Caenorhabditis elegans: one gene and its partner. The protein of the gene in region 1 interacts with the protein of each later gene in a pairwise test. Each region holds a gene or a part of one and is shown on either strand. Other genes may lie near its edges.

What was found. Proteins that work in one complex are often made in the same cells at the same time.
Region 2: the proteins of pfd-6 (region 1) and pfd-5 interact in a two-hybrid assay, tested with the Caenorhabditis elegans proteins (2 studies listed by BioGRID).

Annotation. Positions count from the first base shown.
Region 1 is NC_003279.8:7,280,479-7,288,355, forward strand, and holds pfd-6 (putative prefoldin subunit 6), read right to left. Parts: upstream 3,285-7,877; 5' UTR 3,263-3,284; coding exon 3,205-3,262; intron 3,158-3,204; coding exon 3,087-3,157; intron 3,042-3,086; coding exon 2,917-3,041; intron 2,779-2,916; coding exon 2,652-2,778; 3' UTR 2,486-2,651; downstream 1-2,485. Other genes in the region: rde-2 (SH2 domain-containing protein), read right to left, coding at 175-185, 261-668, 714-933, 982-1,383, 1,430-1,489, 1,608-1,706, 1,754-1,903, 1,964-2,114 and 1 more; F21C3.6 (DUF4200 domain-containing protein), read right to left, coding at 3,482-3,550, 3,649-3,732, 3,877-4,069, 4,965-5,123, 5,229-5,284. UniProt on the Caenorhabditis elegans protein: Binds specifically to cytosolic chaperonin (c-CPN) and transfers target proteins to it. Binds to nascent polypeptide chain and promotes folding in an environment in which there are many competing pathways for nonnative proteins.
Region 2 is NC_003281.10:7,195,323-7,200,617, reverse strand, and holds pfd-5 (putative prefoldin subunit 5), read left to right. Parts: upstream 1-1,733; 5' UTR 1,734-1,734; coding exon 1,735-1,854; intron 1,855-1,903; coding exon 1,904-1,999; intron 2,000-2,042; coding exon 2,043-2,174; intron 2,175-2,225; coding exon 2,226-2,336; 3' UTR 2,337-2,467; downstream 2,468-5,295. Other genes in the region: exos-9 (Exosome complex component RRP45), read left to right, coding at 2,557-2,622, 2,665-2,759, 2,810-2,913, 2,955-3,046, 3,092-3,256, 3,303-3,385, 3,429-3,561, 3,613-3,701 and 2 more; F37C12.18 (CDT1 domain-containing protein), read left to right, coding at 5,250-5,295. UniProt on the Caenorhabditis elegans protein: Binds specifically to cytosolic chaperonin (c-CPN) and transfers target proteins to it. Binds to nascent polypeptide chain and promotes folding in an environment in which there are many competing pathways for nonnative proteins.

The DNA of each region.
Region 1 (7,877 bases):
ATTTCAAACGATGAAAACGCTAGACAACGAGAAATAAACAATAAACATGTGAAAATAAATGCTTTAATCAGTAAAATGATACAAAAAATAATCAAAAAAGTTAACACAAGAACAAGAATTAATGTACCAGAATACAATTTGAACCCATAACGTGATTTGTCGATTGTGCAGTTTTTACTTTCGAACTGAAATAATAATTTGAATAGAAAACCAAGAATTCTCCTAGGTTTCTTCGAAAACTCGGTTTCCCTCTTACTTACCATTCATGAAATATTGATTAGAAGACAATGGCGGAAGCTCTCGAATATCTCCATTTGTGAACTGTTGATAAGCTTCACCTCCCTTTCCAATATGTAATGAAACATTTCCAATTGGTTTTCGATGAACAACCCACGCGATTAGGTCAAAATCTGCTGATAATTTCGAATTCAAATGATTCAGAAGACGTTCTTTTGGAATTGTGACAAGTACTCCATTTGTTGCTTTCAAATAATAAAAATGATGATCCGAGTTCATCTCTGTGTTGTCATGATATTGCTCCACTACTAGTTCAGGTTTTGAAAGTGCGATTTTTACTTTCATTTCAAGCACTCCTCCGAAGCATCTGACCGAGTTTTTAAAGCAATCAATTTTAAGGAGAGAATCTGGCGTGTCTGGTTTCTTTTTCACTTAAAATTAAAGTTTTTTTAAAACATTGGTAAATTGTAAAATACCTGCAATATGTGTATATGGAATCTTGAAAATGAGCCTATCTTTTGTTTCAATTCTACGAGGCAAGATATCGAAGAATGCCACGTCTCCGAGTTGAGGGGATCTTTCCAATCCTTCACACGATCTTTCTTGAAGCAAAACGTTTATAACGTCTCTTTTGGCTGTGTACAAAATTGCAAAGCCATCGATTTTTTGCACAACGGTGCATAAAGCAGATTGAGGCTGAAATATGGTGATGAAGATTAATATTATTGTTCTGGCATTACGTACTTTTTCGGAATCAGTTTTATCTTGACGAAGCAGTTGAAGCATCGTTGGAGCTAAATCTTTAATAAACGGTCTCATCGGAATATTAGATGTTCCACGTGTTCCGTATGTATCTTCATCATCAATTTCATCTTCATCTGATAACTGATTTGAATCAATAACTGGTGCTGCTCGACTTGAGATTGTAGTCTGGGACAAGGATGAATCAACTTGATTCAATTCGATACTTTGGCTTCGAAAAGTTTCCGGAGGTATTTCCCGATTCTCTGACACAACTCTAGAGGAATTGTACGAATCAGATGTCTGCGAGTTCATTTGAGAATGCACGTCTTCTTGATGTTGACTTGATTGTTGATCTTGTACGTCGGTTTCGGGTGTTTGAACATATCCATTACCAGTCATAATCTAAAAATGTGATTACTTGAAAAATTCTGAACTATAAGTCACATACATCCAACAGTCTTGTATCATGAAGATACTGTACATCAGAATCAACGACTGGATTCGGGAGCTGAAATTATATTATGTAAACTGCAGGAGGTTGTGGCTTATATGTTCTGGGAAATTTTGATAAGCAAAAACCAAAATGTGAACAATTCAAAATGAACCAGGACACTTTTGCCACATACTGATTGATATCCATTTCGGCTTACAGCATCACAGGTGTGTAGCTTTTGTGGATCTTCATGCACACTCAATGCGACCCAACCTGCCAGAGATGCTTGAGCCTGCAATATTTTTATTTTAATAGTTTTTTTTAAAATCGATAACTTACTTCAACAATAAAACTGCGTCCATCATAGTGTTGACATGATGATTTGATCAGACTAAAGTCGTCAATAATATGATCATAGGAAATATCGTAACTGGTGAAATCATACAAATTATTTTTCCGATCTACTATTACATCAAATCGAGCTGTTATCTGAAAAATTATAAAAATCCGTACTCTTTATTTATTAAAACTTTTTCCATTTGAGATTACCAAAATTTCTCCTTCATCGTTAGCCTCATACTTCGGAAAGAATCTCGCCGATGAATTTCTGTGATTCGGCAAAACGTCCCAGTTTTCATATCCACAACTATTTGAGGAATCCAATACGTATTGTCCCACGAAGTTCTGACAAACAGTTAATCTAAAATTGCTAGTTAATAAAATCAGATAAAATAATGTCTAACTTTAGCCAGCGTCCTATCTGCAGGCTCTGAATATTTCCACTGATTTCGACAAATCCATCGATATTTTTGGTATAGAAAAGATAATTTCTGTTTCCATATTTATTGTAACCAACTACCAATCCATATATTTGGGTTTGCGGTTGTTGAATTTGTGGTTGGGGATTATACGACGATGATGGCTGACTTTGAGCATAATAGTGATTTGGAGGAAAATAAGAATGGTACCCATTATGCATCTGAATAGCAAGAAAATGAATATAGTTATAAATCAGAACTGATGTAATTAGCAATGACTTTTAACATAGACGTGAGCACAAATGGTATAAAACAGTTTGAAAGCATTTATTGTAAATGGTTCCCCGAAACAAGAAACTTATTTTTTTCATAGAAAAATTAATGTGATCTTCTCGTTTCGGAGAAACACCAGAGATGAAGAATAGGCAAAAAATAACAAATTAAGAGCAAAAAATATGAGATTCATAGAACAAACTGGATTATTTCTTCTGTGCTTGGGCTGCTGCTTGAGCCATCATCTGGAAGCTTTTTTGCATATTCATCACCTTGTCTCGCTGTTCCGTACACTTCTTCGAAATGTCTGAGATGCTGGCTTCCACTCGTTTGCTGAAAATTGTAATTAAAGTTTTGTTGCATTTTAAAACGTTTAAAGGTAAAATTTATTTGTTATTTTTATTTGTTTCGTGTAAATCAATAGCGTGCAAGAAGTAATACTAAAGAAACATGATAAACGTTACAACTCACGTCTCAGAGTCGATAAACTCAAGCCGTTTCTCCACAGTCGATCGAGCCTCCTCCAAATCTTGACGAACAAGAACCGCTCCGATGAGTTTGTAGACTTTCGAGTCGGATTCCATCAGATCAAGCTCCTGAATGAAGATAACATGAAAACTGAATCTCAAACTTTTTCTTACCGCTTTCACATTTTTACTCTCAGTTAATCTCATTTCCATCTCTTGGCGACTCGTGAAGTACTTTTCGCGGTCTATAATTAAACGATTGAAAAGATTGTTTAAATTAACAGTTACTAACCTTTTTCAAGAGTTCTGAGCTTGTTAACTTCTTCTTCGAATTTAGCCATATCAGCCATTTTGATCGTTTTTAGTGGGAAAAGAAGTGAAAGAAAACAAAATTGTGTTTAAAAATCTAGAAGAAAAACGGGTTCTGCGCCATCCTTCAAAGCGCCAGCAAGCTTTCTTGACGCATTTTCCGTTTTTGGCGGAAGTTCAAAACTGGATTGTATATGTTAACTTCAATTTTGTTATGCTTTTGCTAAAATTTCATTCAATAGTGACAATACGAAATATTTTCAATATAGATATTTCCAGAATCGTGAAAACCAACTTTGCATGGAATCTTGATAATATTCTTCGCGTATCTGAAAGTTTTAGCTTAATTATATACAATAATTAAATAAGTTTCTTGTAAGTTCAGGGTATTTCCCTAGGTTCTATAAACATAAAAATATATTCTTACCTGTTTTGTCTTTTTCAATTCTGACTCTAGTTTTGATAATTGAATTTCAGAAGAACGAAGTCGGTCTCCAGCAGCGTTGAAATGCTGGAAAAAAAATCAATTTTGTTTTAGCCTTGATCCACTTTTTTGAAAGTCTAAAAAAAATTGAATAAAATATTTAATATACACTGTATCCAAATATACTAATAAATCATAAAACAAATCGTAAAACAGAAACCATAAACTCACCGATTTTTCAATTTGTTGTGTTTGAATAAAATCATTTGAATCGGTATATAACTGCACTTTGATTGCATTTCTTGACTCCCGATAATCACTCATCACATTCTCAACTGCTTTTTGTCCAGATTCAGCGTCTTGAAATACTTTCTCGAATATTTCTTGGCGTTTACGAAATTCTTTCTTCTGATTTTCCGTTTTTCTGAAATTGTTTGAAAATTCAACAAATCAGAATGTTCACTTTATTTTATAACAAAACGAAATTTGAAATTGCAACTTTTCTAATCTTTACAATCACTCTAAAGTGAAAACTACAAGACCAATAAGGGATTCGCTCCGCCTACGTTCAGACCAATCAGTGACGCTACTCCGCCTTCATCCGTTGATTGTTTCAGTAGTAGGCGGAGATAGTCGCCGATTGGTTCTTATTAGGAAAGTCGCGTTTCACGTGGTGTCAGGCTGTCTCATTGCGGTTTGATCTACGAAAAATGCGGGAATAGTGTTCCAGAAAATTGTGACGTCCGCACGCTCTTCACCGTGCGAAATCAGATGAGATGTCTGCGTCTCAATTCCCGCATTTCATGTAGATCAAACCGAAATGAGACGTTCTGGCTCCACGTGGCGTTTACGTTAGGTTTTTATCGCTGCTCTTTGTTGATACTACAGAAATTGAAAATTTTCGAGTACTTCAAGACAAACCCCAATTCAATCAAAACGTTGCCAACTATTTTATAGGGATCTTAAATAGTTCCAGATTAGTATTAATTCATGCTACCCAAACTTTAAGTTACGGAAAAAAAAAAGTTTTGAAACTTAGTGATGTAATGCCAAATATCAAAGTTTACCTCACTTTAATACGAATATACCTATTTGATTATGTTTCTGAGAAACATTTCAATTTAATAGCTAAAAACCAACATTCCACCTACATCGATTATCATATCAAATTGCTTTTTTCCACCTGTTTTATGAAAATCGGTAAAAATGGTTGAAGAAATTGACCAACAAACATGACTTTTTGCAATTAAATATTTTTTTATGAATAACAAAGCAAAAGAAATAAGTTCCTTATAATTAAAAAAGGAAATTACTCCTACCTTTTTGCAAGCTCCGCCTCTTCTCTAATACGATGCTGCTCCAATTGTTCAGCTACCTTCTTGAGCTCAATTTCCCTTCGCTTTTTTCTCCATTTTGTACGTTCCCGTTCTCCACGTTCACTTTTTGTCGGTGACGACGATGGCGATGACTTTTTTGTTCTGAAACGATAATTGGATGGTCCCCCGTCCTAAAAATGGACATCTGCCGTTGATCGACAATTAGTTTGGCGCCGAATGGGTGCCGACCTCCTCTGAAGAACTCACCTAGCGAGCTCTTCTTTCTTTTTTCTTTTTTCGATACCGCCCGTTTTTTTGGCCATTTTGCATTAATTTTCGGAAATGATTCAAAGTTTGCAAATTTCTTAACTAGATATTCAAAATTTTGATTCACGTGTACTCCAATGAATTGCAAAATTGAAAAGTGACACCTCAACTTTTATGAAAAGTTAGGAATAATTTGTTACTTCCAACTGTGTTGGTCTACAAAGCATTCTATATATAATACATTATATTTAAACCAGCCGTGGACCGCACCTACGGCGCGGCCCCCGACTTTTTGAGAAAACACATTAGATATACGGTGTCTATCGCGGACCTCGATCGATGTCTGCTGCGCATTTAGCATAAGGTTTCCCAAAATTTCGTTGCTCTGATCAAAGATCAAACTACATAGGGACAGAAGGACACGCGCTTTATATATAGTAAATGATGATATAATGAGCCAACACAAAATATGTATCATTAAATCATTATATCATTAATGATATTTATCATTCGAATATTAAAACCAAATATATTTTATTAACTAGTTGATACCACAAAACTCTGCAAGTTAATTTGATGGCTTTGAAGATTTGAATATCATTTTTAAATATCCAATTCATGATAATAAGTTATTTCATATTTATATAAGGAATGAAACAGTTTTATATTTGTTCAGCTCTCTGGATAGTTTTGAAACTCTTGCTAAACATTTCAAAAAACATTTAATACATTACCACTTCTAAAATGTCTCATCCATTCTATTTTCTGTTTTTCCGACTCCCACTTGCTAATAGATCCGTGCCATTTGTAGTATTTATTTTCTGCAACACAAGATTTCGAAACCAGTTGAAAGTAGAGTTCCAAAGCGTGCCTAGAAACCACTTTACGTCAATGTGAGTCAATATGTACACGAAAAATTGAGGAAAAAGTGAAATAGAAGATTCTCGGAGTTGGGGCCAACTTATCACGCCAGTGTTACCCGTTAGTTTCATTGTTATTGTTTATGTTACTGTGTATTTACGTTTGGTTTTTTTGCCACGGAAACTTCTCATATACTTTATTCATAAAAATTACGTTGGACGAAGGGCGTCTCAATATACATTTTAGTTGGCAGCTTGCATCTAACTGCAATTAAAAATGTGTTACCGTATATTTAAACATTGCAGTCTCCATCCACCTTCATAGATTGAGCATTCATAATTGATTTACACTGCGCACAGCTAGATCCTCGCAGCATTGGTTTTGTGGACGCACGAATCGAAATCTAAGATTTAACTAACGGAAGCTTCTGGAAATTAGTAATAACCAGAGAATATGCGGTGACTAAAATGTGTTTTTTGTTGTTCTATAGTTTTGAAATTGAACATTAATCCATGAGAAACGAAGACATGAGCTTCCAGCATGCAGGATTGAGATGAAGGTAATTTGAATGAGTTACTATTAAATATGTTCGTTTGAAAGAAATCACATGCGAGGGTATTTCTTGAGCAACAACACGCTCGAGTGCAAAGTCTACAATTAATACAAAATGTTCATTAATTGGAATAATTTTTGACGAAAACGTTAGGCTGTTGAATTACTGTAACAATAAGATTAAATTAGAACATATAAGTGAATCGTACAAAAATATTGCTAATGAGAAAATTATTGGTTTTCAACAACTAAAATTACTTAAAACTAAATACTTATCTTTTTAAAATTAATAAATGCCTCCCAGTTATTTTAAAACATATGAAATCACATGAACCTCCCCATTCATACAAATGTTTCAAGTTCATATGACTCTTGGCTCCTTGCTCCAGATCGGAGCCAACTGTTGCCACTTTGCTGAGTCATACTTCATCAGTTCCCCTTTTCAGAATTTTTCATCATTTTTTCTTTCGTTTTAGAACATCAAAAGTCTTTTTGCACTTTAAACTTTTTTCGGCAACTTTTTACTTTCTTACGCTTACGCAACACAATTCCCTCAAACTTTTCGTTTCTTCCTGGTTTTTTTCAATAGTTTGTGTGTGTTACTAAAAAAAAATCGAGATCGAGGGTCGGAGAAGGCCTACAAAAACCCGTTCGTGAACCATGGCATATTTGCACAGTACATAATAGTGCAGGCACTGGGTGACTGCCTCCAGTGTCACGAAACGTTGGAGCTGGAGCTGACTTTTGAGGCAGCAGACTGTGAGACGGTGCCACCCGGTGACCATGCACTTTGCAGACAAACAGACCCCGGGCGCCGCGGCAGAGCACCAAAACTTTGTTGTCTCTGTGAGGAGGGGCAGCAAACGGTTCAGGCGCCGATTTGGAGCAACATTGAAAGTTTTTGTATTGATGACCCGTTGATAAAGAAATTGATAACCGAACAACGCGATAGTTCAAAAATAAAATAAATTTTGAACTTTTGAATTGTTTGACCGGTCATTTGAAAGATGGATTGTGATTACATAAGGCCCTGTAGATTTTCTCAAATTTTCATGGTATTATATTTAGTAGGATTATTTAATGAGAGTACGAAAAAGTTTGGTTACGTACGTACGCCATACAACAGCCAAAAAATCAGAGTTTCTCTATTCTGAAACTTGTTACCGCTTCAGGCTCTTTGGGCCAAACTTGGGCAGAAAGCTACCAAGATATTATTTGCAAGCTTTTAGCATTTCA
Region 2 (5,295 bases), on another chromosome or scaffold:
GGATCAGAACATCTGTCACTTTAGGTCAGGAAAAACTGAAACTTCTGATAAAACTACAGTAACTTCTGATACTAAAGATTAATTGATAACTGTATCAATAAAACAATGACACCTTTGGAGGCCATATTCAATCTTTTAGGCCACTTTTTGTTAGCAGAAGAGACCGAAAGTTCTCAACATAATGGTCATTGATACCGTAATCCAACCTCACTGATCAGATCATTCGTCACTTTTCAAAATAAGTGTAGCAACCTGTTCCAGACGGAAAAACAAAAAATTGGTATTGTTATCATAATATAGACATATTAATAAGAGGTGTGATGACTGAATACAATAGTAAACAGGGATTGCTTTTTGTGAAAAGTTAAAAAAACGAACGTGAGGGATTTAATTTCATGAAACTACAGTTGGAAAAGTTGTGACGTCACACATGAGAGTGCAATTTTGGTAAGGACAAGTACAAGAGCAATTACCTAGTAAGGGTTTGCAAAGTTCAGATCTGGACGGAGTTCTAGCGAATACAAAAGATCAGAGAATGAATTTTAAAAGAAACAAATAAATATAAATCAAAGTCTTCTTTTTGAAGCAACTTCCGGTCTATCAAATCCTATCTTGATTACGGTAACTTATAGATCAAATTCAAAAAGTACAAGAAGTACGGTCAGATTCAAAGATCATTTTTGAAACAAGGAAATGTTTCTAAAGACTTTCACGTGGATTCATGTATACATATTTACAGTTTTATATGTCAAATATCACATGAAAATCTCTGTACTTTTCTTAAAAACAATAGGCGGAGCTTATAACCTTTAGAGATGTGATCAACGTCATTTCTATCTTTATCTAATTGATTGATAAGTCTCTAAAAATAGAGAATTTGATATGAGAACTGGTGTTAGAAAATCTTTAAAGAATAGAAAGAAGATGACTTTTGAAAGTCTCTTTCACGTTATCATTTTGAGACATAATTGGAAAAATTAGAGAGATTAGAGAAAAGGAAATTGAATGATAAGGAGATGAAAGTGATATCTTTGAAGGTTCAAAACAACTTTTCCACTTCGAGAAGATTCGTCTATAAAAAGGAAACAATTTTATGAAGGGATCTTTGTGAGTTTATAGAATTCTAGGGGTTGTAGTAGCTTTACCTTTCCAAAAAATGTTGTATTTCAGTTATGCCTTTTTCAAATGAAACAGATCCGCCAAGAAGTTCCAAACTGCAAATGATGTTTGATTTTCGAACTAATAGTTCAAAGTATCCCAGTCTAATTTATTATACACCGGAATTTTTTTATGATTCAACAAATAAAAAAGTGAAGGCGAAATCGGGGAATACCCTCAAGAAGATACACAACATTGCAGGGAAACAAAGGAGAAAAGTCTGGTGTTGGAGCTAAATGTCTTCAAATAAAAGTTACAAAATCGGTATTAATTGGTTGGAATCTCCATAAAATATTATTCAATTAATTTTTCTAAAAAAAAAACACCTTCAATATATTTTGATGAATAGAGCAAAAATCTACTTTTCGTCCTTCCTTAAAATATTATTTTTGAATTACCGCCAACAGTGGCCGTGGCCGCGCACATTTGAATTTTCTAGGCCAATGGTTCAATTCGAGAAAATTTCACCGATTTTTAATGCTTATTTTTTCATTATCCTTTTATCCATTTTTAGATCATAATTTCAATAAAGATTGTTATAAATATTCTTCTTTAATAATTATAAATAATTTTAGAATGGCAGAAGAACCGAAAGGAGTACCGCTGTCAGAGCTCAGCTTGCAACAACTCGGAGAACTCCAGAAGAATTGCGAACAAGAATTAAACTTCTTCCAGGAGTCTTTCAATGCTCTTAAAGTTTGTTGAATTTCGTATTTGTTTTTCAAATTAATAAAAATATTTGCAGGGTCTTTTAACGCGGAACGAAAAAAGTATTTCTGCTTTGGACGATGTGAAAATTGCAACTGCAGGACATACAGCTCTCATTCCACTTTCTGAATCGGTATATTTTCATTGTACTTTTTTAATAATTAATGATTATTCAGCTCTACATCCGTGCTGAACTATCTGATCCATCAAAGCATTTGGTGGAGATCGGAACTGGATACTTCGTGGAGCTGGACCGCGAGAAAGCCAAAGCAATTTTTGACCGTAAAAAGGAACATATTACAAAGCAGGTACGAACATCGAAAGTGTCTTACTTGAGTATTTAATCTTATTTATATCAGGTTGAGACAGTTGAGGGAATTCTGAAAGAGAAGCGAAGAACTCGGGCCTATATTTCGGACGCATTCCAGACCAAGGTTCAGTCTCAACTCGCCACGATGAATACACAATAAATGTCTGCCGAGAAATCTACTTCTGAAAATCTCTTGCTTTTCCGATATTCAAATTGTTGTTATCAATTTTCGATTTTAATACTACACCTTGCATTGATTCTTGTTCAAAATAATATGTTTCTTGCTTCTTTTTTGTATTCTAGCTAGTGGTTCGCGTTCAAACGCCTTGAGTACTTACAGTTCGAAAAAATAATTACTTTAAAATCTAACTTCAGAAGTAATGAGAGTTCAACCGGTGACAAACTGCGAGAAGGCTGTGATATTAGAGGCGCTGAAAATTGGAAAAGTAAACTGGTTTCATTGGATTTATTTTTAATTTTTTTTTCAGAGATTTGATTTTCGTAGTCTGGAAGAATTTCGGGATGTGAAGTTAGTGGTCGGAGCAGAAGTTGGAACTGCAATTTGCACTATTGGAAATACAAAGTTCGTTAGTTTTTCCTTATTATTTATAGTCATAAATTTTGAATTTTCAGAGTAATGGCTGCAGTAAGTGCCGAAATCGCTGAACCATCGTCAATGAGACCACACAAAGGAGTTATTAATATTGACGTTGATTTGAGTCCAATGGCTAATTATGGTTAGATTCCTATTTTTGATTAACAATTATCCTTTTTTTAGCCAATGAGCATGACCGTCTCGGGAGCAAAGGAATGGAACTGATTCGTCTATTGGAGCTTATTATTCGTGATTCTCGGTGTATTGATGTTGAGGTGAATTGAGCTGTAGAGAACTTAAATTACAAAAATAAATTCCAGGCTCTCTGCATTCGCGCTGGAAAAGAAATTTGGAAAATTCGAGTAGATGTCCGAATTCTTGACGAAGATGGAAGTCTTCTTGATTGTGCTTGTCTCGCTGCTATCACAGCTCTTCAGCATTTTAGACGACCAAATGTCACTTTGGAACCACATCACACTCTTATCGTGAGTTTGAATTTTTTTAAAGTTCTTAAGTAATCACAAATTTCAGTATTCGGAATACGAAAAAGCACCAGTTCCATTGAACATTTACCATATGCCAATTTGTACAACCATCGGATTATTGGATAAAGGGTTTGATTTCTGTCACAAATTCATTTTAATTTTTAATTTTCAGACAAATTGTAGTCATCGATCCAACAGATAAAGAAACTGCATGTCTTGATGGATCAATTGTAGTTGCCTGCAATAAGCGTCGCGAAGTTTGTGCCCTCCATCAGAGCACAAATCTCATTTTATCAACAAAGCAGGTATTCAATTTCGCATTTCAAATTTTCGAATATGACTTTAAAATTATTAAGATCGAGCGTTGCGTAAAGTTGGCAATGGCTCGTGCGGAAGCGCTCACTGCAGTTGTTAGTGACGTCATTAAACAGGATCAAATTGAAAGGTAACATTAGATTTTCAAATTTTGAAATTATTATTCAATTGTAAAATATTTCAGAAGCGCATTCAAACGTCCGGATGGTTTTGCAATCACCACTCCATCACTCATTCTCACAGCTGGAACTACAGCTTCTCGTCAAATTCGTGCTCCTGTAATCAAAACTGAGCCTGAGTCGTTCACACAGAGAAGTCTCTACCAACCAAGTGTTATTCTTAATGAGAATCCATTGAGTGTCGGATCAGTCAAGCAAGAAGATGTTGATGAGGAGACATTGCTCGCCGAGCAACTTACAACTATTCAGAATAGTGTTGGACAAGTTGAAGTGACTGAGAAGCAGACTGTTGCAGTTTCCAGCCGAAAGGTTTGTGAAATTAAGATTTTATTTAAACATTTTTTTACTATTTATTACTGTTTAAGCGCGAAGTAGAGGAAGTCAACGATCTTCTTGACGGACTCGACGATGACGACGAGGAGGAAGAAGTTCAAACAATGACACTGGGATCCGAAACAGTATTGAACGACGTGCCAATGGAAGAAGCTCCAGATGCCGAAGATAGCCTCGTGAATGCTAAAAAGAAAAAGAAGAAGTAGTTTAGATGCCGCTAATTTCTTTAATTTGTTGTCTTTTTCATTCCTTCCCATTTTTATTTGTTCGCAATGTTGCCTTGTTGTGTTTATGAATCGTTTAAAGTTTCATTCGGGAAGTACGGGATTCAGTTGAATAAGACATTTAGCAGCTAAATATTCCTGAACAGAGATTGACATGAGATAGAGAAAAAAACCAATGCAATATTTATATTATTAAGAAACCATGAGATCATGAGAATGCCTACCGTTGTTTTAATATCTCGTAGCGAAGGCACCTAAATCTCTCTTCGCCGCATGCTCTCTGCTTCCGCTACTTTCGTGCCAGAAAGTAGGCATTCTCATGAACTGGTGGTCTCTTAATACGCTGATACGAAATTTTGCGATTTCTGTTCAAAAAATACGGTACCGGTCTCGATAAGACAAGGTTTTGTAATTTAAAAATGCTGTGCGCCTTGGAAGATTACTGTAATTTTAAACTTTCGTAGCTACGAAAATTTCCTAAATTTTTCGTATTATAAATATATTAGCTTAGCAACGAGATTTTAAAATTACAGTAATCCTTAAAGGCGCACACCCTTTTCAATAAATTTTAGTCGTGTCGAGACCAGGTACCGTATGTTTGACGCAAAAACAGCGAAACATTGCGTTTAAGTATAATGCTCCACAAACACCATGAAATCATCATTACACCATGATGCTGCTCGTTTCGTTGCCAAGAGGGCGACAGAGGAAGAATCCCTGTCACACCTCGATCGGGGGAAGTGCCTAATCTGACCCTGAAGGATATACCTGTCAAATTAGTTTTAGCTAAAAACTTATGCATCTTCCGTGTAAATTCAAAAAAAAAGTTCACGCAAACTCTTATCAAGATTCATTTTAAAAGAGTGTTCGATTTTTAAAAAAATCAGTTTCTAATATTTTCGTCGTACAAATCGGACGGAACTCGGATCACCATAAAATAAAATGAGCAAGAAAATGGATTCAAAAAGAAAGAAGGAACGCTCTCGTA